Macaca mulatta: one gene and its partners. Each later gene encodes a partner of the first gene's protein in a complex. Links are inferred from orthologs where the notes say so. Each region holds a gene or a part of one and is shown on either strand. Other genes may lie near its edges. The genes, in order: RAD18, MAGEA4 and UBE2B.

Region 1 (3,647 bases):
TCCAGGTACCTCATATAAATGGAATTGTATAATATTTTCTTTGTGTGTTGACTTCTTTCTCTAAGCATAATGCTTTCAGAGTCCATCAGTGTTGTAGCATATTTTAAAATTTCTTATTATGATTAAACAGTATTCTGTAGTATGTATATGCCATATTTTGTTTATCCATTTATCTGTTATGGTTATTTCCACCTTTTGGTAATTATAAATAATGCTGCTATGAGCATTGATGCTCAAATATCTAAGTTTCAGCTTAGAGTGGGATTTCTGATTCATATACTGGTTCTATGTTTAACCTTTTGAGGAATTGTTAAACTTTTCCGTAGTGGCTGCATTATCTTACATTCCCACCAGCAAAGCATAAGGGTTCCAGTTTCTTCACATCCTTATCAACGCTTGTTATTTTCTGATTTTTAAATTTTTTTAAAATTGTAGATGTGAAATGGTATGTAATTGTGGTTTTGATTTGCATTTCCCTAGTGACTAATAAACAATTTGTGCATAAGGTGCTGCCTCAGTATGTAACTCATGGTCTTTGAACAAATCGAACTTGTTCATGCAATTGTGAAAGGATATTTTTAGAAACTAGTTTAGCACTTGAGAAAATCTGACTGAATATTTCCCATTAAGAAAACTTTTTTTTATTAGTTGAACCTCTCTTGAATATCATTGATGGCTTGTATGTATTTATGAACATCAGTATTACTCTTTCTGGGGTTCAAAGGTGATTGCTGCTTTTAGATTGCTGTGCATGAATGAGATGTCTGAGAGGGTAAGGAATGTGAGAGAGGTGAAGACAGACACAGACTGACTAAAAAGATGAATTTTGTATAGCATCATACAACCGATATAATTGTTGCTCTTTAGGACAAACATTGAAGTGCTCATGTAAGTGAACAAGTTGCATATTCTCTCAAGTGAAAACTTAGCCTGTTTTTGTTGTGTGTCTCTGGGGAGCTCTGATGTCTGAGCCTCACTCCTGAGGCTCTATTTTGAAGTCCTGCATTCTGAGATCTAAGGGCAGGTAGGAAGGATAACTTATTTTTTATGCCTACAGATTATTGAATGCTGTTTGTCCCCAAGAAGGAATATATTGTCTAGAAGTGTATGTAAGAGTGGAAGAAGTAAGAAAAGAATACAGACAATGTGCAAAAATAAAAGATTGTTTTCAGTTGAATTCCTGTTCCCTGGTTTGCCAGCTTTTTTGCATGCGCCTCACTAGTTGAGTAATATAGTCCCTGGGTGAACCGAGTTGACTGGGGGATTGGCTCCTCTTAATGTGATCCTGGTATCTGTTTACAAGAGGAGTTCTTAGAGGTTCAGGATGGTCATCCTGGCTAACTTCTTTTTCTCTTTTCCAGATATACTTTAGAGGGTGCTGTTTTGTTTTGCTAATGATAGTTTATTGATAGCCAGATGACATTAGGAGCATATTTTTAGGAATTATACTCTTGTGAAGTATGCTGTTCTCCCGCTATAACAAAAACTTAGAACTATTTCTGAAAAAAATTTGACTGTGTGAACTTGGCAAGGTTTTTTGAAGAATGTGTTATGTTCTTTCCCCATAAATTCTCTCTGTATAAACAAACCTTGACAATTGTATTTTTATTGTGCTTCGTTGAAGACCACTTGCCTCTACAAGTGCTTGAGGAGTGATGTGTGAAAGCTCTGTTTCTCTGTGAGGAAACACATGAAAGGAGCTCTGTACTATTATTAGCACGTGTAGCTTACATGCGAAAGTACCTCCTCAGTTCCTGAAAGTTAAGGACAGCACAGATGAAAATCCCAGCAGAGTTTATGATGAGTAGGAGAATCCTGGGCACTAAAGAATCTTTCACAGATATTCTTCTCGCTCATATTTGTAGAAAATTGGCCATTCCCATATGCCACATTTTTGTAAACACTGCATCCTTCCAGCTTTTTGGGGTCTTTATTTTTATCTGCAATAAGAGACCTTAAAAGCTGAGAATATGACAAAGAATGCATGGAAATGTGATGTATATTGGATCAAATGGAAATATTCCTTATGTCTGATTAGTTGTCCTTTTCCATAGAGAATAATTAGATTCTATTTAACAGGTTTAGAAAAATGTCCAGATAGATTCACTATCATATAGTAGTGACATATATTGTGGTTGTCTTATTAGTTGAATCTGTAGTCTTTTTTTTTTTGGTTATATATCTTACGTTGGTTTGTCAGTGTTCTCTGATCTATGAAATATGCAAGAATTCCTCAGTGATATGTTAATAGATGCCTCATTAGAATTACAAGATTCTTCCTGCTCCTGGTTTTAAAATAAATTTTATTTTTAAACTAATTAATCTTGGAAAAACATGGGCTGGATAGTATAATTAGGTAGCACCATTGTAGTGTTAATTCTTGCTCTCTGGCTGTCACTAGAGTTCTGGAATCAATGTGACATATTCTTCAACTTTACTAAGTGCATATGGTAGTATTAAGTGTTGCAGAAGTAATAGGCGTACAGAAGTTGTAGATTTTAACGTACTCTTAAATTTATTTTTTCCTAGGACAGGAAGATAATATGACCTCAGTAATAAACCACTTTTCTCAATCAAAGCTGGTAACAAACCACTTTTCTCAATCAAAGCTGGACTCCGCAGAGGAATTGGAACCTGACAGAGAAGAGGATTCTTCTAGCTGTACTGATATTCAAGAAGCTCTTTCTTCACCAGAATCCGATTCATGCAATAGGTAAGAAACATGCAGGAGTTGATTATTTTAAATATCTACCTCATATGCACACATAGATAGTTAGGCAGAAATAATTAGAAAGTAGCTTTGAGGCATGGTATGGTGTGTCACTCTTACATTTCAGTCCCCTTTTACTGCTGGGTCATCTTCACAGTGGTAACAAGGCAGGATTTGGGAAGGAAGTACAGGGATCAGAGGGTGAGTTTGGTATAGGCTTTATATAGCCTTTTTATAGATATAAAAAGGCTCTATAGCCTTTTTATAGATATTTTTCCTACCGTTGGAAAAGAAAGCATGATAGGCAGTGAAATTTTTGTCAAGACAATGAGTGAAGGAGATAAAAACAACTGTATTGGAAAACAGAGATGATCAGAAAGACATGGCACATAGGAGAGTTAAGAAATGAAAAATTTAACTGAGTAAATAGATGGGGAAACTTTAAAAATGAGAAGTTTGGTAATGAGTCATTTTGAAAAGATATTTTAAAAATATATAGGGTTTATTTTACACACATGCATGCACACATACCATTTTTTGTTCTGGTCTTTCACTTAATATTATGTCATAAATGTTAACATTTCTATAGGTTGGCACAAAAGTAATTGAAACCACAGTTAATTTTGCACCAACATAATACCTTATGTTTATAATTGTTATTTTTAAATGAGTACAGTATTTTGTTATGTCTCTGTACCATAAATTACCAGACCCTTCAGTTTCTGTTAGAGCTCTGCATTTTTTCCAGTGTTCTACTTACGTGCCTGATGCTATGGTAAAGCTCTTCCTTTGTTCCTATTGAATACTTTTTTTTTTTTTTCATTTTTTCGAGATGGAGTTTTGCTCTGTTGCCCAGCCTGGAGTGCAGTGGTGCAATCTCAGCTCACTGCAATCTCTACCTCCCAGGTTCAAGCATTTCTCCTGCCTCAGCTTCCCA
Region 2 (3,266 bases), on another chromosome or scaffold:
CCACATGTAGCTCATGCTTCCTGCACCTTCAAGGTCACAGAGAGGAGAGGGCTATGGTCTGAGGATACCTGTGGCTCAGAAAGACGGGACCCCGCAGAGTCTGGCTGTCCCCTGTTCTTAGCTCGGGGGGACCAGAGCAGGGATGGCCTTATGTGCCAATCTTACTTGTACCATAGGCAGGAAGTTGGAGAACCTTCAGGAAGATGAGGTCTTGGAGTAAAGGGGCAATATCTGCTCATCTCAGGGGGTTGGGGGTTGAGGAAGGGCAGGCCCCGTTGGGAGCAAACATGAGTGACCCACAGGAGGCCATCAGAACCCTCACCCCAGGACCAAAGGGGTCAGCTGTGGACTCCCCGCACAGGGGTGACAGGATGTGGCTCCTCATTTCTGATTGCAGATCTCAGTGAGGTTAGGACCTTGTTCTCAGAGGGTTACTCAGGTCAACACAGACCTCTATCTGGTCAACAGACACAGTGGTCCCAGGATCTGCCAAGAGTCCTGGTGAGGAATGTGAGGGAAGATTGAGGGTACCACAGGGCCAGAACGCAGACGATGACTCCACAGAAATCAGCCTTGCTCCGGTTGTCACCCCAGAGAGCATGGGCTTGGCTGTCTGCTGAGGTCCCTCTCTTGTCCTGGGATCACTGATGTCACGGAGGGGGAGGCCTTGGTCTGAGGGGCTGCACCCAGGTCAGTAGAGGGAAGGTCCCAGGCTCTGCCAGGAGTTGAGGTGAGGACCAAGCAGGCTCCTCACCCAGGACACATGGGTTCCAATGAATTTTGACATCTCTTGCTGTCATTCTTCAGAGGACCTAGGCACATGTGGCCAGATGTGGGGCCCCTCATGTCCTGTTTCCTCTCAGGCATGTGAGTGCTTGATCTGAATTTCTCAGGCCAGCAAAACGGTGGAATCCAGGCCCTGCCTGGAGAAATGTGAGGGCCCTGAGTGACCACAGAGTGGACCATCCACTCTATGAGAGTGGGGACCTCACAGAGTCCAGCCTGCCCTCTTGATAGCACTGAGGGACTGGGGCTGTGCTTATAGTCGGCACCCTAAGGGCCCATGGATTCATCTCCTAGGAGCTCCAGGAACAAGGCAATGAGGCCTTGGTCTGAGACTTGTGTCCTCAAGTCACAGAGCAGAGGGTGCACAGGCTGTGCCAGCAGTGAATGTTTGCCCTGAATGCACACCAAGGGCCCCACTTGGCATAGGACACGTGGAACTTCAGAGAGTCTGACCTCACCTCCTGTTAGTCCTGCAGAATCGACCTCTGCTGGCCGGCTATACCCTGAGGTGCTCTCTCACTTCCTCCTTTAGGTTCTCAGGGGATAGGCCAACCCGGAGGACAGGATTCCTTGGAGATCACAGAGGAGCACCAAGGAGAAGATCTGTAAGTAAGCCTTTGTTAGAGCCTCCAAGATTCGGTTCTCAGCTGAGGCCTCTCACATGCTCCCTCTCTCCCCAGGCCTGTGGGTCCCCACTGCCCAGCTTTTGCCTACACTCCCACCTGCTGCCCTGACCAGAGTCATCATGTCTCTTGAGCAGAAGAGTCAGCACTGCAAGCCTGAGGAAGGCGTTGAGGCCCAAGAAGAGGCCCTGGGCCTAGTGGGTGCGCAGGCTCCTGCTACTGAGGAGAAGGAGGCTGCTGCCTCCTCCTCCTCTCCTCTGGTCCCTGGCACCCTGGAGGAAGTGCCTGCTGCTGGGTCAACAGGTCCTCCCCAGAGTCCTCAGGGAGCCTCCGCCTTACCCTCTACCGTCAACTTCACTTGCTGGAGGCAACCCAATGAGGGTTCCAGCAGCCAAGAAGAGGAGGGGCCAAGCACCTCTCCTGACCCAGAGTCCTTGTTCCGAGAAGCACTCAGTAAGAAGGTGGATGAGTTGGTTCATTTTCTGCTCCTCAAGTATCGAGCCAAGGAGCTGGTCACAAAGGCAGAAATGCTGGAGAGAGTCATCAAAAATTACAAGCACTGCTTTCCTGTGATCTTCGGCAAAGCCTCTGAGTCCCTGAAGATGATCTTTGGCATTGATGTGAAGGAAGTGGACCCCACCAGCAACACCTACACCCTTGTCACCTGCCTGGGCCTCTCCTACGATGGCCTGCTGGGTGGTAATCATATCTTTCCCAAGACAGGCCTCTTGATAATCGTCCTGGGCACTATCGCAATGGAGGGCGACTCTGCATCTGAGGAGGAAATCTGGGAGGAGCTGAGTGTGATGGATGTGTATGATGGGAGGGAGCACAGTGTCTATGGGGAGCCCAGGAAACTGCTCACCCAAGAGTGGGTGCAGGAGAACTACCTGGAGTACCGGAAGGTACCCGGCAGTGATCCTGCACGCTACGAGTTCCTGTGGGGTCCAAGGGCCCTGGCTGAAACCAGCTATGTGAAGGTCCTGGAGCATGTGGTCAGGGTCAATGCAAGAGTTCGCATTTCCTACCCATCCCTTCGTGAAGCAGCTTTGAGAGAGGAGGAAGAGGGAGTCTGAGCATGAGTTGCAGCCAGGGCCTGGGGCGGGGGTGGGGGGGTGGCGGCTGGGCTGGGCCAGTCATCTGCCCTGTGCAGCAGCTTCCCCTGCCTTGTGTAGCATGAGGCCCATTCTTCACTGTTTGAAGAGAGTAGTCAGCATTCTTAGTAGTGAGTTTCTGTTTTATTGGGTGACTTGGAGATTTATCTCTGTTTCCTTTTAGAATTGTTCAAATGTTCCTTTTAATGGATGGTTGAATGAACTTCAGCATCCAAGTTTATGAGTCGTAGTCACATATATTGCTGTTTATATAGTTTAGGTGTAAGAGTCTTGTTTTTTATTCAGATTGGGAAATCCATTCTATTTTGTAAATTGGGACATAATAACAGCAGTGGAGTAAGTATTTATTTAGAAATGTGAATTCACCGTAAGATATGTGAGATAAAGAAATTAAAAAATACTTAATTCCTGCCTTATACATACTCAGTCTACTCTGTAAAATTTAAAAAATATATACGCATACTTGGATTTCCTTGGCTTCTTCGTGAATGTAAGAAAAATTAAATCTGAATAAATAATTATCTGTGTTCACTGGCTCATTTCTTCTCTATGCACTGAGCATCTGCTCTGTGGAAGACCCAGGATTAGTAGTGGAGATACTAGGGTAAGCCAGACACACACCTACCCATAGGGTATTAGAATCTAGGAGCTGCAGTCATATAATTAAGGTGGCAAGATGTCCTCTAAGATGTAGAGGAAAAGTAAGAGGAGTGTGGGTATGGGGCTCCAGGTGAGAGTGGTC
Region 3 (4,368 bases), on another chromosome or scaffold:
TATAAGGGTTTTTTGGTTGTTGCAGGGTTTGAGACAGGGTCTCAGTGGCATGATGATGGCTTACTGCAGCTCAAACGATTCTTCTGCCTCAGCCTCCTGAGTTGCTGGGGCTACTCGTGTGCACAGAGACAGGATCTCCTATGTTGCCCAGGCTGGTCTTCAACTCCTGGCCTCCCAAAGTGTTAGGATTACAGGCATGAGCTAATGCCCCAGCTCATGAGGGATATTTTTAAGATATAGTTTCTATTTACCATTTTTCTCCATGTAACCCTGCCTGTGTGTCTTCCTCCTTTGCTATTGGAAGGGTTAGGACTGCAATGGCAGAAAAGCAAAAACATTAAGAATATTCAGCTTTTAACTTAGAAAACACATTGTGAATGTCTAACAGGACCTATCAAGAGTTAGGCCTGGCTAACTTGATCACTAAGGCAGTCACTGGAAGCTGAGAGAATTCAGGGTTTGAAGAAAGAGGTACAAGGAAAGTCGGAAAAGTTAACTCTGCTTCCATAGAACTAGGGGCAAGGTTGAGGCAATGCTAAGGTCCTCATTCCACCCTCCCTTTACCTGTTGAACCGAACAATTCCCCAAATGGATACAAAAGTACTCAGAGTCCTTAGTATAACAAAGTCCTGAAAGTAGGAATTAGCAGCAATACAGGGAAAGACAGTAACTACAAAAAATATTCAAGGTCTGTGGGAGGTCAACACCTCTGAACCCCCTGGTGGTGGGGGGGCACTTCTCGCCCATTTGCACCTTTCTTGCTAGTGTAAAAAACCTGAAGTTGTCTCAGGCTGGATAGATAACCCTCACTCAGGTCTGCTGGAGCTCTCCCCCACATATGAATCATATTTGTAGGTTTCTTTGACAACCAACCACTCATTGATATGCTTGGAAGACTGCACCCCCACATTCTTAAAAATACAATGGTACTCCCCCCCATAGGCAAGTCCCCGGACTCTGACACATATCTTCAATTGAAAGCAGACCCAGAAAGGAAAAACTGCATAATACACCATCCTTTAATGTTTGCCCAGAATTTCCAATACTAGAAACCCCACTGCAAAGCAGAAAGACTATTTGGTAGCTTCAAGGAACCATTTCAGGAGATTGTTGTGTGGCCCTCAGTATTCAATGCTGCCTTAGAAGATCTTGCGATCCTCTCTCTTCTTGCCCCAAGTACCAGAGTTCATAAGCCACTGAACCAACCAGAGGGGAGTTATTTTTGGTCCCGGTTTAAAGAAAACAAAACAAGCTGTTGATCCTCCCACGACCTCTTGGGTAATGTCTCTATACCTGTGATAAACCGAAAACAACTAATAAAGGTGTATCCAGCCCTCACCCTCTTAGACCCGCTTCACAGACCTGGCCGAAACTCACATCCAGGCGAGGCTCTCACGTGACCCGTTCTAAACGCGTCACAGGGACACGTGGTTCTAGATACTTCTCCCCCTCCCCCTCAGGGGTGGATTGTTGACAAGGCCGCGGGCAGTCACGTGATCTTACATCATCCCACCTCCTTTCCCTGAAATCCCTGGCCCGGATACGTCCTTCTTTCTCCACCCCGCCGAGCCTAAACTAGAGACGGGGAGGCAGACAGGATAGTGTGTCGGTTTCGTGGTCTCTGAATCCACAACCTCTAGTCTGAACACAGAGAACACAAATTTGTCGATCACTTCAGGAAGCCCAGGAAGAACCACGCCCCGCTGAAGGGCTCAGGGAACGCGCGCTCCCCCGTCCCGCCCCCTCCTCCCCCAGCACTCACTCTGTGGTAGCGGCGGAGGGCGGAGGGATCCGGAGGCGGCGGAGGGAGACGTCATTGCAGGGTTGTTTGTCAGTCTTGGCGGCGGCGGCGGCGGCGGCGGCGGCAGCGGCGATCCACAGTGATTCGGCCGCCGCGCCGGGGGGTGGGGGGGCTGCGCGGGACTCTTTTCTTTCAGACTGACCGCGGGGCAGCTGCGGAGCATGTCGACCCCGGCCCGAAGGAGGCTTATGCGGGATTTCAAGCGGTAAGGGCCTTCAGCTTCGCATAGATGACGGCCTCTCAAAGCTGCGGGGCTGCAGGGCGTGGATCCCGGACACCTTCCCCTTGTGACCCTCAGAGGGTCGGCTGTGGGCCCAGGGGGACTGGCGGAAGCCGGGTCCTACCTCGGCCCCTACTCTCCTTATCCTTGCCGCTCGCTCTGGCGCCCGAAGAAATTTCGATACTGCTTCCCCTCCCCCCAAAAAGTAAAACGATGTCGATCGACTGGTCTAGGGTTCCCCGCTGCCCATTTCGGCCAGCTGCCCGGGGTCTCGTCCAGGGGATCAGACGGGGATCAGACATCATCCTCCCGCCCCTGCACCCTGCGGAGACCCTTTCTTGTCCCCTCAAAGTGAGCTCCCGCGGGAGCTTGTTCTTCTCCGGCAGCACCAGTCAGCTTTGTTTCAAGGCCCCTCAGTCTTCTCCGAGGAGCCGGGTTGGGGTGAACCTCCCCAGCCCCCCACCCCCGCCAGTCCTTTCCATTTCTGCCGTGAGGGTGGGGTCCAGTGCGTGAGGCTCGGAGGTTAACCCATCCCCCGAAACCCGACTCTGTCCCCGCCCGCCTGAAAAGACCTTGGGAACTGACTTAGAGATCTGGGACCTTAGAGCTGGCCACCCCGGCTGCCAGTGCCTTCTGGAACTCAGATCTGGCTGGTGAAGAAAGCCCTATCTATAGCCTCCCGAGTCTGGAAAAATGCCTTCCCTTAGACTGGCGCTAATTTGATACTCCCTGGGCCTTCTTTGGTAAATAAAATAGGGTTTTGTTAGGAGGTATTGGGGTTGTGAGGAAGAAAATGATTATTCCGTTAGTTTACCTTTTATTGGATACTTAGAGACGTAGAAAAAACAAAATAACGTAGAAAAAACAAAATAAGTGAGAAAACATTTTGATATTCTGCACATTTTTCTTAAAATTTTTTCTGGGGACACCTACCCTAATTGAACAAAATAGCATAAAAACATAGATTTGTCGCTCAGGAAGTCACCTCTCAGCTATTATAAAGCCTATGTGAGGCATTTGGATTTGGCCAACTTATTTAATTCATTCGTAGCTTCTCTTAGCCATTTAAAGGTAGGCGTCAAGCAGTGCAGTTCTTCTAAGGCTTCTGTTTGTGGTGGCCTAATTTGCTTGAGATTGACTAAAAACCTTTTTTTTTATGTGGACTAGTTGCAAATTATGATGCCCCATGAAAACAACTCCATATGTATTTGTGAGTGTGTATAATGTAGCATTTTTAAATTGAGGTTACAGTCTCTGAAAGGAGATGCCCTTTTTGGTGCAAAAGTCATTTTTCTAAAGCTTGAAATCAGTGTATCTGATTAGCACTCATGACTAAAATTCAGATAGTAAACTAGTTCATGTCATTGTCGCCCTGGCTCCTTACTGTAATGCTCTGCTTAATTCTGAGTTGAATACATGGCACCTTTTGTAGTTTTCCAGAGATCTATAGGTTACAAGAATTTGACTATGACGAATGTGGGAAAGCCTTGTATTGAGTCTCCTGATTTGAGAGGTAGATTTGATGTTAGTGCAGAGCCTTTAAAATAGGGACTGGCGGAAAACCTACTGATTACTTTTTAAAGCCATTGCTGTTTGAAGCAAAAGGGATAGAGTAAATCTGCTGCCTAATACTAGTTTCCTAGTTAAATTTAATGTGTTTTCAGTCATTTCGTGTTTACACTGAGGTTTGCTTTTTTTTTTTTTTCTTGTAGCCATTTTGCAGAAGTAGCCGTGGTTAGGATACACAGTCTTTGCATGTTTAGAGCAGCAAAATCAATGGTTCTGTAAAAATATTACTTGCTTTTGAGGTTTTAAACTTTTTTTGGTATAAGAGGACAGTCTATATACATCAATTCTTGAAGAGATACTCTTGATAATATTGAAAGAGGGATGATTCTCAAGCCCTTCGGATTTTTAGGTAATTTGGAGAGGTATTTAATAAGTATATATACCTGGTTAATATATCTAAGTCATATGGTTCATTTTAGTTCACAATAACAAGGAAATGGAGTTAGTCTGTGTCTCAAAATAGATGGTGTAGTGTCTGTAGGTGTTTATGTGGCCTCCTTAGTGGCCTTAATGTTCAACTTTTTAAATTACAACGCTGGATTTCTAGGTTACAAGAGGACCCACCTGTGGGTGTCAGTGGCGCACCATCTGAAAACAACATCATGCAGTGGAATGCAGTTATATTTGGGTGAGTTGAAAGGTTTAACAAATAATAGGTGTGTGCTGAATCTTTAAGAAAAGTGAACATATAACAACTGTCTAGGAAAAGAAACTGAGGTAGAATGAGAGATCTTAAGGACTAAAACTGCAAGATAAATTAGAAAAAAATTTTTTTCAA

Evidence for each region.
Region 2: the proteins of RAD18 (region 1) and MAGEA4 are in contact, whole or in part, in a crystal structure (PDB 9BD3), measured with the Homo sapiens proteins. The link is inferred for Macaca mulatta from reciprocal best matches to the Homo sapiens genes RAD18 and MAGEA4. Residues at the interface, in NP_064550.3 of Homo sapiens: Ser348, Phe350, Gln351, Leu353, Val354, Gln356, Ala357, Arg358, Lys359, Gly360, Tyr361, Lys362, Lys363, Ile364, Ala365; in NP_001011548.1 of Homo sapiens: Ser111, Val114, Asp115, Ala118, His119, Ser158, Lys160, Met161, Ile162, Ile204, Ile205, Gly208, Thr209, Met212, Glu224, Glu225, Val228, Met229, Gly230, His237, Val239, Tyr240, His290, Val291, Val294, Asn295, Arg297, Arg299.
Region 3: the proteins of RAD18 (region 1) and UBE2B are in contact, whole or in part, in a crystal structure (PDB 2YBF), measured with the Homo sapiens proteins. The link is inferred for Macaca mulatta from reciprocal best matches to the Homo sapiens genes RAD18 and UBE2B. Residues at the interface, in NP_064550.3 of Homo sapiens: Tyr342, Arg343, Lys344, Lys345, His346, Lys347, Glu349, Phe350, Leu353, Val354, Gln356, Ala357, Arg358, Lys359, Gly360, Tyr361; in NP_003328.1 of Homo sapiens: Pro20, Val22, Gly23, Val24, Ser25, Gly26, Ala27, Ser29, Glu30, Gln35, Asn37, Ala38, Val39, Phe41, Gly42, Pro43, Glu44, Glu49, Asp50, Lys54, Leu55, Val56, Leu73, Ser74, Asp151, Ser152.

Annotation. Positions count from the first base shown.
Region 1 is NC_133407.1:147,684,916-147,688,562, reverse strand, and holds part of RAD18 (E3 ubiquitin-protein ligase RAD18), read left to right. Parts: intron 1-2,529; coding exon 2,530-2,713; intron 2,714-3,647. UniProt on the Homo sapiens protein: E3 ubiquitin-protein ligase involved in postreplication repair of UV-damaged DNA. Postreplication repair functions in gap-filling of a daughter strand on replication of damaged DNA.
Region 2 is NC_133426.1:158,172,748-158,176,013, forward strand, and holds the end of MAGEA4 (melanoma-associated antigen 4), read left to right. Parts: intron 1-1,318; 5' UTR 1,319-1,391; intron 1,392-1,466; 5' UTR 1,467-1,531; coding exon 1,532-2,485; 3' UTR 2,486-2,636; downstream 2,637-3,266. UniProt on the Homo sapiens protein: Regulates cell proliferation through the inhibition of cell cycle arrest at the G1 phase. Also negatively regulates p53-mediated apoptosis.
Region 3 is NC_133411.1:143,289,987-143,294,354, forward strand, and holds the start of UBE2B (ubiquitin-conjugating enzyme E2 B), read left to right. Parts: upstream 1-1,540; 5' UTR 1,541-1,962; coding exon 1,963-2,006; intron 2,007-4,137; coding exon 4,138-4,218; intron 4,219-4,368. UniProt on the Homo sapiens protein: E2 ubiquitin-conjugating enzyme that accepts ubiquitin from the ubiquitin-activating enzyme E1 and transfers it to a E3 ubiquitin-protein ligase. In vitro catalyzes 'Lys-11'-, as well as 'Lys-48'- and 'Lys-63'-linked polyubiquitination.